3 linked regions of the Callithrix jacchus genome follow. The protein of the gene in region 3 purifies or fractionates together with the protein of the main gene of each other region. This does not show direct contact. Links are inferred from orthologs where the notes say so. Each region holds a gene or a part of one and is shown on either strand. Other genes may lie near its edges. The genes, in order: STAT5A, WWOX and ERBB4.

Evidence for each region.
Region 1: the proteins of ERBB4 (region 3) and STAT5A purify together in Homo sapiens (affinity purification with western blotting; 3 studies listed by BioGRID, with this or other methods). This does not show direct contact. The link is inferred for Callithrix jacchus from reciprocal best matches to the Homo sapiens genes ERBB4 and STAT5A.
Region 2: the proteins of ERBB4 (region 3) and WWOX purify together in Homo sapiens (affinity purification with western blotting; 4 studies listed by BioGRID). This does not show direct contact. The link is inferred for Callithrix jacchus from reciprocal best matches to the Homo sapiens genes ERBB4 and WWOX.

Annotation. Positions count from the first base shown.
Region 1 is NC_133506.1:121,727,444-121,731,093, reverse strand, and holds part of STAT5A (signal transducer and activator of transcription 5A), read right to left. Parts: intron 3,318-3,650; coding exon 3,187-3,317; intron 2,941-3,186; coding exon 2,789-2,940; intron 2,333-2,788; coding exon 2,177-2,332; intron 1,748-2,176; coding exon 1,568-1,747; intron 1-1,567. UniProt on the Homo sapiens protein: Carries out a dual function: signal transduction and activation of transcription. Mediates cellular responses to the cytokine KITLG/SCF and other growth factors. Mediates cellular responses to ERBB4.
Region 2 is NC_133521.1:36,741,488-36,745,137, reverse strand, and holds the end of WWOX (WW domain-containing oxidoreductase), read right to left. Parts: exon of another isoform or gene 1,559-3,650; coding exon 1,370-1,558; 3' UTR 413-1,369; downstream 1-412. UniProt on the Homo sapiens protein: Putative oxidoreductase. Acts as a tumor suppressor and plays a role in apoptosis. Required for normal bone development. May function synergistically with p53/TP53 to control genotoxic stress-induced cell death.
Region 3 is NC_133507.1:133,033,648-133,037,297, forward strand, and holds part of ERBB4 (receptor tyrosine-protein kinase erbB-4), read right to left. Parts: intron 1,712-3,650; coding exon 1,266-1,711; 3' UTR 1-1,265. UniProt on the Homo sapiens protein: Tyrosine-protein kinase that plays an essential role as cell surface receptor for neuregulins and EGF family members and regulates development of the heart, the central nervous system and the mammary gland, gene transcription, cell proliferation, differentiation, migration and apoptosis.

The sequences.
Region 1 (3,650 bases), on a different chromosome or scaffold from region 3:
CGCACCTGGCAGCCCTGCCTGATCTTTTAAAGCGCTGCAATGCAAGCTCAAAGGCAGTGAGAAGTTCATTCTTCTTCATCTTCACCCCAATCACATGGTAGGCACTCAGTAAACATTTTTTTTTTTTTTTTAAACAGAGTCTTGCTCTGTTGCTCAGGCTGGAGTGCAGAGGCACAATCTCGGCTCACTGCCACCTCTGTCTTCTGGGTTCAAGTGATTTTCTTGCCTCAGAGTAGTTGGAACTACAGATTCAAGTAGCTAGAGCTATAGGTGTGTGTCACCATGCCCTGCTAAGTTTTGTATTTTTAGTAGAGACGGGTTTTGCCATGTTGGCCAGGCTGGTCTCGAACTCCTGGCCTCAAGTGATCCGCCCGCCTCCACCTCCCAAAGTGCTAGAATTATAGGTGTGAGCCACTGCACCCGGCCTCAGTAAACATTTTTAATTGGATGACAAGGGATGGGGCCATGTCTTCCACATCACTCACTCACTCATTCACTCACCCACTGCATACATTGTGGGTGGCCTGTCCTGACACTGGACACTGCCTCCCCATTCTCTGCACACACGACTTCTCTGCCCTCTTTCCTCAGGACAAGGCACATGGGCTCTGCCTGAAAGTCCTCCCTCTCTCTGACTTCCCTCCCTACCTCCAATTCCACTGGGGGCCTAATACTGTCATTTCATTAGCCCTTCACCACGATCCTCGGAACACAGCCTCTGTTCCCTGTTGCATGGCTACAGTCTCTGCCTGCTCTGCTGGTCTAGGGGCTGGGCAAGGAGACAGCCCAGTTCTGTTGGGGTCACAGTTGCATCCTCAGTGCATAGCACAGGTTCTAAACACGGCAGTAATGCCGTATTTTGTGTGATCTTCTTGGAGACAGGTTCTCATTCTGTTGCCCAGGCTAGAGTGCCATGGTGGAATCATACCTCACTGTCATCTCAAACTCCTAGGCTTAAGCCATCCTACCACCTCTGCCTCCTGAGTAGCTGGTACTGCAGAGACTTGCACCACCACATCCAATTAATTTTAAATGTTTTTGTAGAGATGAGCGTCTCCCTATGTTGTCCAACTCAAACTTCTGGGCTGAAGTGATCTTCCCGCCTTGGCCACCCAATGTGCTAGGATTACAGGCCTGAGCTACCACATCTAGCCTAGCACCATACTTGTTGACCTACTATGTGCCAGACACAGGCAGGAAGGGCAGTGTCCATCTATCCTAGGCTTAATGATGGTTTGACATGATCGTTTGAATTTACAATGGTGCAAAGCGATACACTTTCAGGAGAAGGTGGTGTGATAGTCCTTCACAATGCTGGGCAATGAGCCTCACCTCTCCGGCAGCCACACCATCCCCAGGGTAAAGAGCTAGGCGTGGTGAATCACGCCTGTCATCTCAGTACTTTGGGAGGCTAAGGTGGGCAGACTCCATGAGTCCAGGAGTTCAAGACCAGCCTGGGTGACATGGTGAACTAGGAAACAAGACATGTCTGGATGCGAGGACAGAGAGAGGAGGTGCGCGTTCCCTACACATGAGCCTGGGCAGGGGCGGGGAGAGGCACAATTACTTGCGGGTGTTCTCGTTCTTGAGCAGAGACTTGGCCTGCTGCTCACTGATGATGGTCGCCTTCACCTGCGGGGGGTTCATGTGCACGTTCAGCTTCCCGCCCACCAGCAGGCGCACGGTGGCTGCAAACTTGGTCTGGGTCTTCAGGACCTGAGGGGGCTGCTTCTCAATGATGAATGTGCTGCAGGGGACACAGGGACGGATGCACGATGAGGGGCTGGCTCAGGGGAAAGGGGTCTCGGTCCCTCTGTGGTGGGAGTGGGGCTGCCTCCTGAGGGGCTCAGCAGGTGAGGAAGAGCACAGCACAGGGTCTGTTCCCAAGGAAGCCATGAGAGTCCAGGAAGAGGCCGGAGAGGGGGAGTGAGATGAACACAGCAGCCGGCATGGGATGCCACCCAAGGGCATCCCTTGCAGTGTCTACAAGAGAAACTGGGCAAGGGCGGTGCCCAGCAGCCACAGTAACTGGAGACGGAGTGGGGAGGGATGAGAGGCAAAGAGAGACAAGGATGAAGGTGAAGCTGCTGGTCTGGAAAGCACCTGCGGCCCCCCACACGCCCACCCCATGGGAGCTGCCCCAAGCCCCTGGGCATGGCCAACAGGCAGCCGTCACCTGGTCACCAGGGCTGAGATGATGTCCGTGATGGTGGCGTTGACCTCGGCCAGCATCTCCTCCACTGGGCCGGGGATGGGCAGCTGCTGGCAGAGGTGCTCAGCCCTGCGGATCTGCTGCCGGTTCTGCCAGATGATCTCGGCCAACTTCTCACACCTGCACGGAGCCCCAGGGCCAATAGGAGGACAGTGGCTTCTCTGCACAGAGTCCAGGCCACAGCCCAGCCCCAAGACACGGCTCCTCCTCCCACAGGAACGTCTCCCCCAGGAAGGCTCTGTGCTTTCCCCACACTTCCCACCCACAGCAAGAGCAGAGCTCCCTGCCTCAAAGAATTAGAGACTTTCACAGGAGGGGACCCTGACTAGGCCCAACCAGCCTGAACGCCACTCTGCACACCCGAGCCCTGTCCTACCCCCAGGACAGCAGTCCCCTTCCTGGGGAAGGTGGCACAGGATGGCGGACCAAAGTCTGAATCAGGACCCAGGCCCCTACAGAAACAAGAGCTGTCCCAGGACGGAGGGGGCCTGCTGCAGGAGCCAGCGCAGGAGGCAGAAGCAGTCGGGGTCCCTGCAGCCCCTCCTGCCCTGCCCGCTGGCCACCCCACACTGTTACCAGGACTGTAGCATGTCCAGGCTGCCCTCGGGGGGCCCGCCGTTCCCGGCCAGCTGCTGCCGCCGCTTCCACTGGATCAGCTCGTCATCCAGGATGATGGTCTGTTGCTTCCGCAGCAGCTGCAGGGTCTTCTGGTGCTTCTCGGCCAGCTCCTGAGGGAGGGAGGAGAACAGCCCCTTCTGGGCTCCCAGAGAACCCCACGGGGCCTTGCTGGGAAATGGCAGGGCAGGGCCCAGCCCCTTCTCTCTCCCCAAGCTGCTTTGCCTCACATGGCCCCAGGTAAAAAGGCCTCCTGCCCTCCCAGGTTCTGCTCTCATCCCGGTCCCAGCCCTCCCTCGGGTCCCCAGAGACTGGCTTTGTGGCACCCATGCCCAGGAGAGGCCCAGGACCCCACTCACCAGGCGGTACTGCTGTAGCGTCTGTGCCTCGCGCTGCAGCCAGGCCTCCAGGGACACCTGCTTCTGCTGGAGCGCTGTCTCCCGGCTCAGACGCTCCTGGGGGCTCAGCTGGCCCAGCGTGGCAAACTGAGCTAGAGGAGGGGACAGGGCACCATGACCGTCACCTCCCAGCATCCAACAGGAGGCCCAGAGGAGCCCACACGCTTGTTCTGGAGCGAGACCCTCCTGGGCTCAGACGCTGCATCAAGGGCAAGTCAGGGTTCCTAACAGCCAGGGGCGCCAAGATGAATGTATGCCTCAGGAGGCACCTCTGGGCCCTACTTGACAGCCTCCTGACTCTGAGTGTCCCTTCTGGGGGCACATGGGGTGCTGGGGCAGCTGGAGAGGAGTCCTGCCTGTCACCTGCTCACCCATCCCACAGGGTTGCCAGCCCTCTTCTCATGGCCTGGCACCAGTTCCTGGCT
Region 2 (3,650 bases), on a different chromosome or scaffold from region 3:
GAACAATGATACACATCCTCCAGACCTTCCTGTTGTTTCAGCAGAAGCGTTCTCTCCATCTTTCCAGAGTGGGCTTTCTCATGTGCTTGCTGGAATGGGCTGGAAACCATGGTGTTCATGAGAACGGATATGCAGAGAAGAACCTCTGTATATCATCTTCCATTCTCAAACACAGAGATACTCTCTGCCCACTAAGTAGTTGGTAACTACAGGGGAGCTAAGCACTGAGGACTAACGTAACTCACTGTAAGTAATGACAAAACATCTTAAGGTGAAATTAAACAATAGCCAATTTTCTGGTTTCTTTCTTTCACAGAAAATATGATGCTGGCATGCTAATCGCGTGAGACGGCTTGGCCCACGGACAGCCACAAAGCACAAAAACAAAACACAAACTCAGAAGAGACAAGGATCGTGTTTTCCTGGCGTCTACGAGAAGCGCTTTATTTTTCCTCTAGATTTCTTTTTTAACAAAAACGGAAACATTTAAAAACACAGTACAAACTGCAGGTGATCATCTTCAAGCCTGTTCTTTTATTAAGCATAGGTTGGGAGGCACAGGCGGACGTTTAAGCAGAAAGCCAAGGCAAGACAACAGACTGACTGATGGAAGGAATCAATATTCCTTGCTCTCCAGAATATCCTGTGTGTTCTTGAGGACACACACCTCCCTGCCTGTCAAGGTATCTAAGGAATGCTTTGAAAAATTTATTTTCTATAGACTTTAAAGAATTTTTTTGTGTAGCACTGGCAAAGGAGTCTATGACACGTACTTTGCCCCCCAGGAGCTCTGCCACTCCATCTTGGTGTCACGGCCATCCTGCCCAGCTGGGGCAAGTTTCTGAGAGTTGTCTCCCCAGCAATTGCCAAGCTGGCTCAGTATGGCCAGGATGCAAGAAACAATTATCTGCTGGATCGATGCAGCAAGGAGCAGTAAACACTTGCTTTTTCTTCCCTAAGTAGGAGACAGCACGCCCCTGGCTGCAGTGGTGACCATGCTGGAAGCTGGGTGAGTCAAGGGGACCCCAGGATACTGTCTAATAGTAAGAAAGAGAAAATTGCTTGTGCTTCTCCAGGGAGATAAAGAACCAGAACCCACCCAGGTTACTTTCAAACAAGCAGGCCACCACCAGAACGCAAAGAAACCTATGCTGAGCCCCAGAAAAGCACCTTTACCCCTAAAATTCCCTGCTTCCCATTCGTACTTAACATTCTTCATGCGGTTGGGACTGCTCTGATTTCCTTTCCTCTTGCGGATCTCTGTTAGAGGGACACGGAAACCCCCTAAGGTTGGAAGGGGTCCAGCCTCGGCAGTTCCGTGGGCGCACACGCAGAGCGGGTCTGTGCGCCCATGGTCTCGGAGCTCCGCTTAGCCGGACTGGCTGCCAAGCCGTTCTTGGATCAGCCTCTCGCTGAGCGCCCACAGGGCCCGGGCCGTCTCTTCGCTCTGCGCTTCTGGCGAGGGCATGCAGCGGCAGCAGTTGTTGAAATACATGCCTCCCAGACCCTCCAGTTCTGGGGCGGCAGCACAATAGACGGTCGTGGCAGCTCCCTGTTGCTGGGAATCAAAGAAGAAAGACAAACATGTTTTAAGAAGAGGAGTCATGGGATGGCATCAGCAAATCTCCCCCACTTGGTGGTTTCAGCTGGATCTTGGCATAGCAAAGGCTACTGGGCTGAAAGCACATGACTGAAAAGTATACTGTGACTATCCTGGAAAAACGAGTTCATAAACTCCGCTTGTAAAGCTGGTGTGACTTTTGACACCTCGTATAGAACAGGCTTGGAAAATAAATACATGTCGTGGCAGGCGCCTCGTCTACACAGGAAGGAAAACGATATCCTTCTGATAGTGCAAGAGCACATTCATCCAACCCCTCGACGTCTCAATGTAGAATGTCACTTGATACCAACTTGTTTGTAGAACCTTCTGTCTGACAAACCAACCACTCTTAATTATGGCCCATCAGGTAGAAAACCCAAGTGGAGCTGGTGCCAGATCCTCCCTTTATGCTCTGCCCACAGTGCTGCTAGGGGAACGGTGGGCAAGGCTGTGTTAAAACATTTAATGCACACACCCACATACTCCCCAGCATACATGACTATCTAGCACATCTCTTAATTCATCCAGAACCTATGAAAACTACTTTTTCCTAAATGTTGTATTTGTCCCGGATCTCCAACGGGACCATGGCTAAGCGGTCCATTTCCTCCCCGCCCACTTCAAGATGTAAGTTGCAAAGAGTACAGTTGATCACTTTTGATTCACCTTTTGAGTAACAGTTGGGGCTAGGGCTAGGGATGTGTGCACTGATGGTGCATCATATCATCTGTACTGACAAAATACAGTCAGGGATGCTGTAAAGAGGGCAAGAAATCACTTTGCTTTGCAAGCCATAATTAAAAATAATAGGCTGCTGTTCAGAGGGAGACATGGTCGGCACGTCTCTAATTTAAAACCAATACAGTTTATCTGGCATCTTATGATTATTTATGTGTTTCACAGCCCTAGCTGCATCCACTAATTTTCAGCTCATAGGGAGCAGGGTTGCAAAAGAGGACCAGACAAGATGATAACGGAAGGTAAGGCAGCCCCCACCAGGAAGACGGTAAGGAACTTTGATTGCGGGGGAAACGGCTTTCCGACCTCACCCGAAGTTTATCACTTTTTTTTTTTTTAACCTCTGCAGGGTTTTAACTCTGAGCATGCAGGGTGCTTAGGGGAGGACTTTCCCTCACATGGTTTGGTTTGCCATCACTATGCTTGTATTCTAGGGAGCCAGGGCCATTCTGAGAACCAGGGGCCCGTGGAAGGTGTTAACGACCTGAAGAAGGTGGATAAGGCAGACGTGGGTTTGCTGTTGCTTGCTTTTGGTTTCTTCAGTGTCAGGGTCTGTAGTTAATCTATGTTGGTCTGAAAATGGAATGGTCAAATGCAGTCAAGTGACATGACTCTGGCAGGGGTGTGGACAGTGCATGAGACGAGCACTTGGATTTCGAAAATAAGTGGCTGCTTGGTGATATCAGGGAAGTCCCAGTAACTAACTGATATGTCTTGAACTGACTTAAACAGTAACTGGTTACCGCCCCAGTCTCCTACCGTAACCACGCCCACTCCAAATAGCCAGATATTATCCTAGATTCAGCTAGTTCTTTTCCATTGATTTCTGTGGGTCAAGTCTAATGGAACAGAGTTCGTGTCATCCAACTTTCCTTTCACTGAATTATGATTCCTCATAACCCTCGGCTTAGCAGCTGGCACATGTATCTAAACAACTTCAAGAGGCCCATCTGACTCTTCTGCATCCCATGTGGGGAAAAGGGAAGCAGGCGTGCCTCTAAAGACAAACTGGAGAATGGAGATGCTCATCCAGCTAATTCAAGCCAAATATCACCTGAACTGAGCTAAGAATTCAGACCGAGATAGTGCTTTGCATGAACATCCAGCTCTCTGTCACAGATTTCCATTTTATGCTGCCAAAACCACCAGAGTGGCCCAGTGCCCGCGTGGTGAGAGAATCCAGCCCACTAATTTCAGTCCAGCAACCCCCCACGCCCACGCCGCAATGACTATACTATTCAGTATTGAAACGTCATGACACAGTGGCCTTTCAGTGTTCTGGTAATCCTAACACCAAAGGAGTCCACTA
Region 3 (3,650 bases):
CCTCTCATCATAGTCCCTGGATACCGTTGCAAGGTTCCTAATTTGCTTGGTTTGGCATTTCCACAGTCTTTATCTTAGCTCTTTTTTTAAAAAAACGTACTTAAATTAGTTAATTTGCTGGTTGCTTCCATATTGCTTGATTCAAAATCCAAAACGGAGTTCAGAAAAAGAACAAATAAAATTACAGCTTAAGTGCAAACTACGTTTCTGAGTATTTGCCAGGTAGACATACCCAGTCCAGTGTGTTTCTTCCAGTTCAATAGATTCCCTCATTGGACCACCCCTGAAAATATCAGTAGTTTTCTTGAACTACAGAAACTAAGAGAACTGTCTCTTAGTTTCCCTTTTATACTTCAGACAACCAACTGCTTATCAAATACTGTCATTTATGGAGAAAAAAAATGTTGAAAAATGTAAAGGATGAAGGTGAAGATAATTTGATAGCATGAAAAATGAAAGCTAAAATAAAAAAATATTAGCCTCCCTTTCTTATTTTAAAAATTGTGTACTTAAAATAGTGGCCATTTTACCATATTAAAATATTTCTTGCTTAAATTCTGTGAAGAAGCTTTGACATAAACATCTTTGCAATTAGAAATTAAAGCCAAAAATTGGGGAGCAACTATATAAAGGAATTGGTCAGAGCAAAACAAAGTGGAAAAAAAAAGCCTTCAAAACATAATTAATAGTTATATTTTTTATGACTATTTTTAAATTATAAGCTGGGTTGGCCATTCTTACTTGCTAGGACAGAAACTGTTGGAGAAAAAAATTGGTTTCTCAATCTCCGATATTATCATATGTTATAGAAAATGTTATTTTTTTGTTCTAATGAAAACTTTATTATAATTTCCAGGGATGCTCAGTATGTACACATCAGTTCCTGCAGATAGGAACAGATAACATAGGTGTTTCAACCATCTGCTTAAAAAAAAAAAAAAAGAAACAAGAAAAAAGAAGTGACAGCTAGTTTGATAGTAGGCGGTATTGCCTTATATTTTCTGGTCCTTCTCTAGCTGTTTCATTCTGACCAACCCATGCAGAGAAATGAAGAAACACTGTGGTTCCTCCTATCTTTCTCTTTCAGTCTTTCCCTCTAATGTTCAAGATAGATAAGCACATAACTATCATTGCATCTCTATATCTTCCACTGGGAAGTGTCAAAACTACTGGCCTTGGAGTAGAAGGAAGACCACCAGAGAAAGAGAGGGGGGTGGGGAAACTGGAGCTGTGTGTGTGTCTCCTCCTAAAAATAACAACTGAGCTTACACCACAGTATTCCGGTGTCTGTAAGGTGGAGGTGGCAGCACAGTGCCTGGCTTCAGGGAGAACTCAGAGAGGTATTCAGGATTCTCTGCCACAATAGGCCGGATCCGCCCATTCTGTTTATAAAAATATTTTGTGCTGTACTCCTGCAGGTAGTCTGGGTGCTGGAGGGTGCTCCGAGGTGGCAAGCTGTGGTTCCAGTAGTCAGGGTTGTCAAACGCTTTCTTGGCCTTCTCTGGCACTGACAGTACATTGTTCTTTAGGTACTCAGCTTTTCCCAAGGCATTGGCAAAGGTGTTGAGGTACAGCGGCTCATTCACATACTCATCCTCGGCCTTGGATGGACCATTGGATGCGTTGTGATATTCGGGATTATCCAATGCTTGAAGGTCTCCATTTTTTCTTCGAGAAACAAAAGGGTTCTCCTCCACTGGATTCAGGTATTCTAAAGGAATAAAAAAAAATCCGCTAACCTCAACTTTCTGGAAAATACTAATCAGACCAAAGTTATACATAATGATTAGCTTCTTTGTCTAGAACAACAACAACAAAAAAATACAGACTTGTTTTCAGGATTTCTCAAAACAATTATTTGTGGATTACTATTGCCATATGAAAAAAGTGGACCAAAAATGTTTATAACAAAACAAGAAGCCAATGAGACCAGAATCAGAATTTCTATCTCCAAAATTTTTCTTTCCTTCTAATTGCATCTGTTTCTTTTGCATATGGGGCCAGTTGTTTAAATGTTTTTGTTTTCTAAAATGTATTTATATTAGGAATAAGACTACTTCTTCAAATTAAATAACCTTTAAATATACAGACAACTTATTTCTATAAAGGATATTGAAAAACTAAAGAGTCTATAGCTTTTTTCCATGCCAAGATGAATAGATGGAGTGAAGAAATCATGTTTTTTAGTATCTAGTTTTGCTATGATTGTCTATACTGGTAACAAGGATTTGATTGGAGATGATCCTGAAAAACTTTTCACACATGGGAAAGAAAGCATCAAAGGAAAAAAAAAAAAAGAAGCAAACCTAACAGGTATCTAAAATGCCTCTAGTTGACTTGCTTGACATTACATGTACTTCTACTTAATAATAAAGTATAATTATATTTCCACTGAACAATCATAATCATAAAATAGCATACTATTAGCTTGAATCATATAAAACAGCGATTTTGTACACTGAAACCAGCCATTAGCACCTATTTTATATGGATCAATCTATAAATCCATCTAGTACAGGTATTGGTCTAAAAGGTGCAAATAATTATTGCCATTCTCCTGAAGTTTAATTTTACCTTTGTGTCTCTAATATAGACTGCAGGTAGACATACACACACATATATTGTAGGTCCTCTATTAGTCCTCTCTTACTATATATACAAAACACTGAGCTATTTCTATTTTGGATTTGAGGCATCAAGAGGGGACAATTGTTTGTTGAGAGGCCATTCTGAAACAAACTTTATCTCTTAGTCTTATCCCAACAAGCAGAGAGAAAAATCCTATTAGGCCAGGGTTATTTTTCTCCAAATATATGTATGCTGAATAGGTAAGCATTTAGCATCACTTATTAAATTTAAAGGGCAATAATGAATATCCCACTATCATACATAGGCCTTTAAAATATACTATCATTTCATCTTAGCAATTCTGTGAAAAAGAAAGTACAAGACTTATTTTTCCAGCTTTGTAGACAGAAAAATGAGATTAAATGATGTATGCAGGATACAATTAGTGTTGGGATAGAATTCAGGTCTTGTTACTCCTCTTGCATAATCTTCTTATTCTACCACACTGTTTTTTATTATTGCCCTTGCAGGCGTTGGGTGAACTTAATGCTTCGTAACAAGTTTTAATTTGACAAATGTATGAAAACACTTGTAAGGAATGCAGAATTTGATCTTTCTTACCAGATTCCTAAAACATCTTAATTGAAAGTATGGAAATGTCTATACTAAAATTCTGTACTCTCTGAGCACTAGGTTAGACTATAGCAACGTTTTATATAAATGGAGCTTAGTGTTCAGAGATAAAATCTGGGAATACTCTGTCTGGGAATACAGTGTGACTAGACAGACTGACTTGCTTTTCTCTTAGCCTTATATTACCTTTACACAGTGCAATCTACTTATATATTGTCCTGATGCAAACTTATATAACTGTCCAATAACTTTGCAGTTGAGGTGCAAATCTTCCCGAAAAGATTCTTCTTTGGGGGGAATCTGCCAAATCTTCACAAAACCTACATTTGTGTCATTACTGGGCTGCAATGAACATCCAAACTTTTCATCACATTTTTATATATATATAAAAGTTTTATATATGTAAAAGTTTTATCTAGACAGATGTATTTTAATAGGTTACTTACAAT